Linked DNA regions of Macaca fascicularis. The protein of the gene in region 1 interacts with the protein of each later gene in a pairwise test. Links are inferred from orthologs where the notes say so. Each region holds a gene or a part of one and is shown on either strand. Other genes may lie near its edges. The genes, in order: MPPED2 and CAGE1.

Region 1 (4,580 bases):
TCAGTCTAAAAATTCAAACTGTTAAGATATGAGGAATGTACTACTCAAGCCACAGAGTAAGGGAAACAAAACCAAGCATTCCTTCAAAAACGTGATTCTAGTCAGTGTTCGCTGATGGACTAGAAAACAAAAGAAAACAAAATGTAAGGGTGCCCCTATACCCCCATCTTTGGCATCCTTTAATATCAATGTCACTTGTTCTGATTTGTGCTGGGCAAGGAAAGACACTGTCCTTTCCACCCGGGCACGTTTGACAAGTACTGACACTCTGGGCATGCTGTACAATAAAATAAATACATTAGTAAGACCATTTCCCTTTTCATTTCATCCTAGGCATAAGAGATGGGTTACTTAAAATTCAAGTGCCAGGAAAGCCCATTGTAAAGGAAATATTTTCAAGTGAATTCCGTTTGATCTTTTTTTTATAGGGGCTCCTACAAGCCTCTCTCCCTTCCTCCCCAGACCCTGGAAACCAATTAGTCTCAGCACAGAGGCCACAGACCAGGTTGCAATGGCTCCTTTTTATTTTTAGGGGATATAATTTCAGCTAGGATGTCTAGTCGATTGTCACATAGTATACTTTGCACACTTCTCTCTCTCACACATATACATTGGATTTCCCTTCGGAGAATGCTCAGCTCTTTCAGTCTGACTCCTAGAAAGGAATTAGATCTGGTTGCTGTCCCAATCTTTCAGCAATGACAATGGCATAACATCACAGGGCCACCTCATCTTTCACAGACAACCCTGCCAACCAAGTTTTCTGAAAGCCCTCTCTCCCTTGTTTTCTGTCTTCCAGCATTTCAGCGGTATTTCCTTTCCTTGTGGTGTTTGTATACAATTCCGAAAACCTTTTCTTCCATTTTCCAAAGTAGCAGACAAAACTGGACTAACTTTGATTTTTAAAAGGCTTTTGACGTGCTTATCTTTTGGGGAAAATTTGATCCAAAAGACGAAAATGGAAACAATTAGAGTCTTTGCCTCTCCTCACCTTCCTGTCCTGAACCTGCCTTAATTCTTGGAGGTGAAAAAAATGATCAGCTGGGTTGGCCTTTTCTTTCTCAGCAACATTGCAGAGAGAAAGAGGTGAGTGTGTGAGTGTGTGTGTGTGTGTCTGGCGTGTTGAAAGGCTTGGGGGAAAAGGAGCACAGCTCTCCCCCAGGAAAGCCTCAGATCAGCAGATGGGAGGGAACCTAAGGTCGCCTTCCTAGGTCTGAGTGAAGTGTCCCAGCCGCTCCCCTTACCCCCACGGTGAGCCCTGCGTCCTGGAACGGTGCCAGGACTCCTGACAGAGCCTGGCAGGTCGGTGGGTGGGGGGAGCTGGGTGTTCTCTTTGCAGAAGAACACCATTTGGGAGAAAGATCCCTTATTTTCCTGGGGCACCGTAGCCTGCCTTCCTTCCCCTATCATTTTTTACGCAGATCACACTCATGATGATGAACTTGCAGCTCAGCTTCCTGCCGCCTGCTTGACCCGGGAGCACCAGCAGGCTGCCGGGCCTCGCCCTCGGCTCCCTCCTCCTCTCGAAACCCTGGGGCTTCGGGGCACCGGTGGGGGTCCGAGTGGGCAGGGACTGCAGGAGAGGCGTGCAGGGGCGCGGGGTCCCGCCGGGGAGCGCGCACGGAGCGGCGCCTCAGCCGCCCTGCTTCCTGGAGCTGTGCTCCTTTGACCCCAGTGGCAGTCCCTGTCACTGCACCGCTCGCGCTCCCTCCGGCTCGCCGCGCCCTCGCTCCCTCTCCTCGCCCCCTCGCTCGCTCTCTCCCCAGATCGAGGCTGCTCGGGTCCTTTCTCCCCCCGCCTCCCTCTAGCGCCGCGCCCCCTGGCCCCCAGCCCCAGCCTGCGGCGGGACCTCCGGGGTCGAAGGTTCTGGCCCGCCCGCGCCCCTCGCCGCCCCCGCGCGCCCCCAGCGCTCCTCCAGCCAGCTCGGGCCGCTCAGCTATGGATTGCCTGCTCGCCGGGCGCTGAAGGCATCCCCGGGACCCGGAGCGCAGCCCGGGAAAGGTAATCCGCCCCGGGAAGGGAGGCGGAGGGCGGGGGAGGGGGAGGAGGCGGCCGGGAGCCTGGTGCCGAGCGCGAGAGGAAGGGAAAAAAATGCACACACAAAGCGGAGCCCGGGTGAGAGGTGCCTTGTCAGAGGCGCGTGCGAGGGGATCGGAGGCTGCGGACCCGGGCTGCCCCGGTGCCCCTGACATCCGCACGAGCGGGCGCCTCCCGGGCAATTCGGCGCCCGGGGAGGGCTGATTTTCAACCCCTGAGCGAAAGCAAATTCTTTTTTAGGAGCTGTCTTCCCTCCCACTCCCCATCCTGCGCCTCTTCTCTTCTCCCCCACCCCCTCCAGCCATCAGCCCCCCGACCTCTGGGGGTCCCCACCTCTTTGCCCCCTCCTCCGCCGGGATTTCTGAGGAGGAAAGGAGGGGGTATCGGCGAGAAGCTGCGGCGAAAGCCGGGCGACGGAGATGGGGGTGGGGACGAGGGCTCAGCGAGCTGTTTACTAGAAAGTCCCGGGGTGATGTGTTCGAGCCGCCCCGGCCTAGGCCCGGGTGCATTGTGTTGGCCCGATCCTTGGTCTCCCGCGGCGGCCCGAGGCCAGGTGCAGTGACTAGGGGAAGGCGCCGCGCAGCTTTGTGCTCGGGCTGCACCCCGCGGCCGCCCCTGGGGCCGCCCGCGCGCGCCGCTCTCGCTTGGGGCTCTTTCTCACCCAGTCCCCGCGCCCCAACCTCACTCTCCGCCGCTGCCTGGGTCTCCGCGCTCGCAGCCTGCGGAGCGACCCGGCGACTCGAGCTGGGGTCGGGGCTAGGCGACGGGGGACGAGTAGCCAGGAAAAGTAACCGTTGCCGCCGGATTTCTTCTCTACAGAGGCAAGAGTTTCCTTGCTATTTACGTGTAACAAGGTTATCTTTGTAAAGCCTTTGAATTACGGGGTTTTGCGGCCTAGGAGGTGAAGGGGGCATTTTTCTAGAGGCTCAGGAGCGGGTTGGAATCCGTCAGCAAGAAAATAAATTAAGGATGCCCCAGTGGAGTTGATTTATAATAGTACATCACTACCCCCCTCTCACACACACACCCCAAATTAAGTGCAAATGCGAGTCGTGAAAAATGTATAATTGATTTGAGATGTTGCAAACAAACACAAACAGGTCGGGGGGGGGGGGAACAAGCAAAAGTTTAAGTGAAAAAAGATTTCAAAAGAGGGGGAGATCCCATGGCCTCCACACCCCCTTCCAACGCTCTCTGGCTCCCTCCCTTCCTTTCTCAGCCGTTCCGGGGAAGGAACCTGGCAGCGCCCAGGCGCAGAGCAGGGAGGAGGCGGCGGCCCCGGGCTCGGGCTCCGCGCTGTGGGTTCGGGGATGCCAACGCGCCCGGGAGGCTGACGTCGGGGACGTGGGGCTGTGATGCCCGACCGAGGATGGCGTGGTGTCAGAGCCATTGGCCGCCGGTGGTCATCAATCAACCCAGAGCTAGGGAAGAGGGAGAGAAAAAAGATAGGCGTCCAGCGGAGCCCGGGGCCGCGAGCGCTAGCGCCAGCAGTGCCAGCAGGAGCGGCGGCCGCGGAGGCAACGGAGGTGGCAACGGGGGACTGAGCGAGTAAGGCGCTGGTGCTCCAGGAAGGAAGGGGAAGTTGTAGCCGGGAAGAGCCAGCCGTGAGCCTAGAAGGGCAGGGCGAGTGTGTGTGTGTGTGTGTGTGTGTGTGTGTGTGTGTGTGTGTGTATGTGTGTGTGTGTGTGTGTGTGTGTGTGTGTGTGCTGATAAAGCCTCCCCCCCCACCCCGCTCCGCGCAACTGCCCACCACCCTAGATTTAAAACAAACAAACCAATCCAAAGTAGAGAATTCCGCGCCCCCCACCGCCCCACCTTATATAGACTCCACGAGTTGCCAGAGGCTCCGTAGAAAAGTCTTGCCCTCCCTCTCCGAAAGAATGTGTCACCCGGGTGTCCGCAGTGCTGGAGACAAGTTCAGGTGTAAGTGCGGTGGGAGGGAGGGCGCTCGGTGGACAGAAGCACGTGGAACTTTATGTCAGCATCCCCCAAAAAAACCCTGGCGGAGAAGCCCGCCGGGAAGGCGTGTGGGCATCGCTCCCAGATACAGGGATGAGTAACTGGAAGTGGGCATAAAAGAGTAGGGGCGTGAGTTAAGAACGCACTGGATCGGCGCGGCAGAGGGAGGAGAGAGCGAAATTTGGCGGATTTGGAGCAGGCAAGTTCCAAAGTCCCGCCAGGCTCGGTCGGGAGATTTTGGGGCAAGTGATTAAAATGAGCATTCCTGTTGAAACGAGAAAACCGCGGGCTCTTTTCTCATAGGCTGTGCTGGGCAGTGCAGGGGTAGAGAGGTCATGAGTTGTTGCTTTGAAAGTTTTGGTAAATTGGACTTCTGGTGTCTAGGAGGTGGAGACAGTTATTTAATTCCTCAGCTTTTAATCCCTTTATTGCCAGGCGACTTTAAAAGGTTTTCCAACTAGATTCCTGGAAAAGAATATTGCTAGTTGTACAGCTTAAAGGACAGAAGCGATTGCTGTCTAGGAAATGCAAAATGTACTCACATGATTTTCTTTTTAAAGAGAAAAATCAAACTAGCACCAGCA
Region 2 (3,806 bases), on another chromosome or scaffold:
AGGAAGCATGGTACCTACTGGGACCTGAAGGAAGCCCTGAGTACAGGAAGATCAGAGTTGGAGGAAGGAGGAGGGGTATAGCAGATGAAGACAGGTGGTACGGGCCAGCTACTGCTTTAGTTCATTTCATACGGCTGCAACTATATCACAGACTGGGCAATTTATAATGAATAGAAATGTATCTGGCTCACGGTTCTGGAGGCTAGGTCCATGGTGCCAACATCACACAAGGGTCTCTGTGCTGTCATTTCATGATGGGAGGTGGAGGGGCAAAAGAGGGTGAGATCAAGGGAGCAAGTGGAGGCTGAACTCACTTTTATTTATTTATTTATTTATTTATTTATTTATTTTGAGATGGATTCTCGCTCTGTCACCCAGGGTGCAGTGCAGTGGCACCATCTTGGCTCACTGCCACCTCCGCCTCCTGGGTTCAAGCGATTCTCCTGCTTCACCCTTCTGAATAGCTGGGATTGCAGGCATGTGCCACCACGCCCAGCTAATTTTTTGTATTTTTAGTAGAGATGGCATTTCACAGTGTTAGCCAGGATGGTCTCAATCTCCTGACTTTGTGATCCACCCGCCTCGGCCTCCCAAAGTGCTGAGATTACAGGTGTGAGCCACCGCACAGCCCCCAACTCACTTTTGTAACAAATCCACTTGTGATAACTAACACACTCCTGCGATAACAACATTTAGTCATTTTTATTCACCTCTTACTAGGCCCCATCTTCCAACACTGTTGCATTGGGGATTAAGCTTCTGGCACATGAACTTTAGGGAATGCATTTAAACCATAGTAGATATCAAGAGCAAGATATTAGGGCCTTGTAGGTCTCAGTAATGATAGTTATCTTTATCCCAGAACAATGAAAAACCATTAAGATGCAAGGTTCTGCAGAAGGATGAGCTCAAAAAACAAAATACAGAAGTCCTTGTCTCTAAATTCCAGAGAATTATACAGCGCACCACTCCCTTTTACTGGGTTTTTATTTATTTATTTTTTACATACGAGGTCTTGCTCTGTTACTCAGATTGGAGAGCAGTGTGACCATGGCCCACAAGAAATCCTCCTGCCTCAGCTTCTGAAGGAGCTAGGACTACAGGCACGTGCCCCCACACCTGACTGATTTTTAAAATATTTTTTTGGAGAGATAGGGTCTCACTATGTTACCCAGGCTGGTCTCGAACTCCTGATCTCAAGGAATCCTCTCACCTTGGGCTCCCAAAGTGTTAGGATTACAGGTATGAGCCACTGTGCCTGGCCTGGGGTTTGCTTTTTGTTTGTTTGTTGTTTTTTGAGATGGAGTCTCGCTCTGTTGCCCAGGCTGGAGTGCAGTGGCATGATCTCGGCTCACAGCAGCCTCTGCCTCCAGGGTTCAAGCAATTCTCCTGCCTCAGCCTCCTGAGTAGCTGGCACTACAGGTGTGCACCGCCACAGCCGGCTAATTTTTGTATTTTTAGTAGAGATGGTGTTTCACCATGTTGGCCAGGATGGTCTTGATCTCCTGACCTCATGATCTGCCCACCTCAACCTCCCAAAGTGCTGGGATTACAAGCATGAGCCACTGCACCTGGCCCTGGGTTTTTAATGTCATATTCATTTCACCATTTCTTACCACAATGTACTGTCTTTTTTATTTTTGTTTATTTTATTATTACTATTTTTTGAGACAGAGTCTCGCTCTGTCGCCCGGGCTAGAGTGCAGTGGTGCAATCTCAGCTCACTGCAACTTCCGCCTCCTATGTTCAAGTGATTCTTCTGCCTCACTCAGCTTCCTGAGTAGCTGGGATTACAGGCATGTGCCACCACGCTTGGCTAATTTTTGTATTTTGGGCAGAGATGGGTTTTACCACGTTGGCCAGGCTGGTCTCAAACTCCTGACCACAAGTGATCTACCCACCTCGGCCTCCCAAAGTGCTGGGATTACAGGCATGAGCTACCTTGCCCGGCCTACTGTCCTTTTGTAACCTCCCCAAAACCTGTACTGTCAGCATAAAGTCAATCATGAGGCATGTTCTTCTGCCATTCTAATGTTCCTAAGAGTCACAGAATAATTAGAAAACAGTCTAAATGTGGAAAAAAAATATTCAAAAGAGAAGAGACCTTCCCTAAAAATCCAAACTTTTGGCCCAATAATAAAATGTAAAAAAAAAAAAAAAAGAGAGAGAGAACTTGCAGTCTATAAGGTAATTGATAGATTTATTTGTCTGAATTCATTTGAAGTCAAAGCATCTTATATGTGTGCAGGGAAGTTTGCATAATAGAAAATGGTAAGAGGACAAAAGTTTAATTTTCCTTTTGTCAAAGTAAATGGGATATATATCTGTCATATACCTACTGCCTGTGCTCTGCTGTGCTGTTAGGTGCTGTACAAACATTTAGCAATTAATACATAGGTATTAACTTTTGTTAATAGGCATTATTACTGGAAGTAGGTACTATCGTTACTTTATAGTGGAGGAAACCAAACAGGGGATCTACTAACAGAATTCAAGGCCAGCCCTATCTGACTTGAAAGTTCATGATCTTTCTACGCATTCACATTTACTTTGTTTATTATAATTTACAGACTGCAGTTCCTTCGAAAGAAATGCAGAATCATGGGGAGATTCCTGAGATGTCAGTCAGTTATGCAAAGGAAGTCACAGCAGAGGGTGTGGAGAGGCCAGAAATTGTCTCAACTTGGTCTTCGGCAGGCATCTCCTGGAGGAGTAAAGCATCTCAGGAGAACTGTGAGATGCCTGACATGGAGCAAAGTGCTGAAAGCTTACAACCTGTTCAAGAGGACATGGCTTTAAATGAAATCTTGAAGAAATTAAAACATACTAACAGAAAGCAGGAGGCGCGAATCCAAGAACTCCAGTGTAGTAACCTGTATTTAGAGAAGAGAGTTAAAGAACTACAGATGAAGACTACCAAACAGCAAGTGTTCATTGATGTCATCGATAAGCTAAAGGAGAATGTTGAAGAATTAATTGAAGAAAAATACAAAATAATCCTAGAGAAAAATGATGCTAAAAAGACACTGCAGAATTTGCAAGAGATTTTAGCTAACACCCAAAAACATCTTCAGGAATCCAGGAATGACAAGGAAATGTTACAGCTTCAATTTAAGAAGATCAAGGCTAATTATGTGCGTTTACAGGAAAGGTACATGACTGAAATGCAACAAAAAAATAAATCTGTAAGTCAGTATTTAGAGATGGACAAAACCTTAAGCAAGAAAGAGGAAGAGGTAAAGAGACTACAACAACTCAGAAAAGAGCAGGAAAAGGTCACAGCTTCTGCTCTGGACTTGTTGAAACGGGAAAAAGAGACCCAAGAGCAAGAGTTCTTGTCTTTACAGGAGGAATTCCAGAAACGTGACAAGGCAAACCTGGAAGAAAGACAGAAACTGAAATCTCGACTTGAGAAATTGCTCACTCAGGTTAAAAATTTGCAATTTATGTCTGAAAATGAAAGAGCTAAGAATATAAAACTTCAGCAGCAAATCAACGAAGTAAAAAATGAGAATAAAAAACTAAAACAGCACGTTGCAAGGAGTGAAGAGCAAAATTATGTCCCTAAATCTGAGACAGCTCAGTTAAAGGAGCAATTAGAGGAAGTCATGAAGTCAGATATTACCAAGGTATTGATACACATTCTAAATCTCTAATGCGGATTTTCAAGAGTTTCTAGTGGTCTGGTGATGCATATTTAGATGTGGCACTTATATTTGTTTGCAGAAATAATTATTAAGGAAAGAAACAGATCTCGGCACTTTGGGAGGCTGAAGCAGGAGGATCTCTTGAGGCTTGGAGTTTGA

The links.
Region 2: the proteins of MPPED2 (region 1) and CAGE1 interact in binary tests that used the Homo sapiens proteins (3 or more experiments, as listed by UniProt). The two-hybrid records come from large-scale screens. The link is inferred for Macaca fascicularis from reciprocal best matches to the Homo sapiens genes MPPED2 and CAGE1.

What each region holds. Positions count from the first base shown.
Region 1 is NC_088388.1:34,963,710-34,968,289, forward strand, and holds the start of MPPED2 (metallophosphoesterase MPPED2), read left to right. Parts: upstream 1-1,659; 5' UTR 1,660-2,001; intron 2,002-2,050; exon of another isoform or gene 2,051-2,115; intron 2,116-3,089; exon of another isoform or gene 3,090-4,195; intron 4,196-4,580. UniProt on the Homo sapiens protein: Displays low metallophosphoesterase activity (in vitro). May play a role in the development of the nervous system.
Region 2 is NC_088378.1:165,630,948-165,634,753, forward strand, and holds part of CAGE1 (cancer-associated gene 1 protein homolog), read left to right. Parts: intron 1-2,570; coding exon 2,571-3,629; intron 3,630-3,806.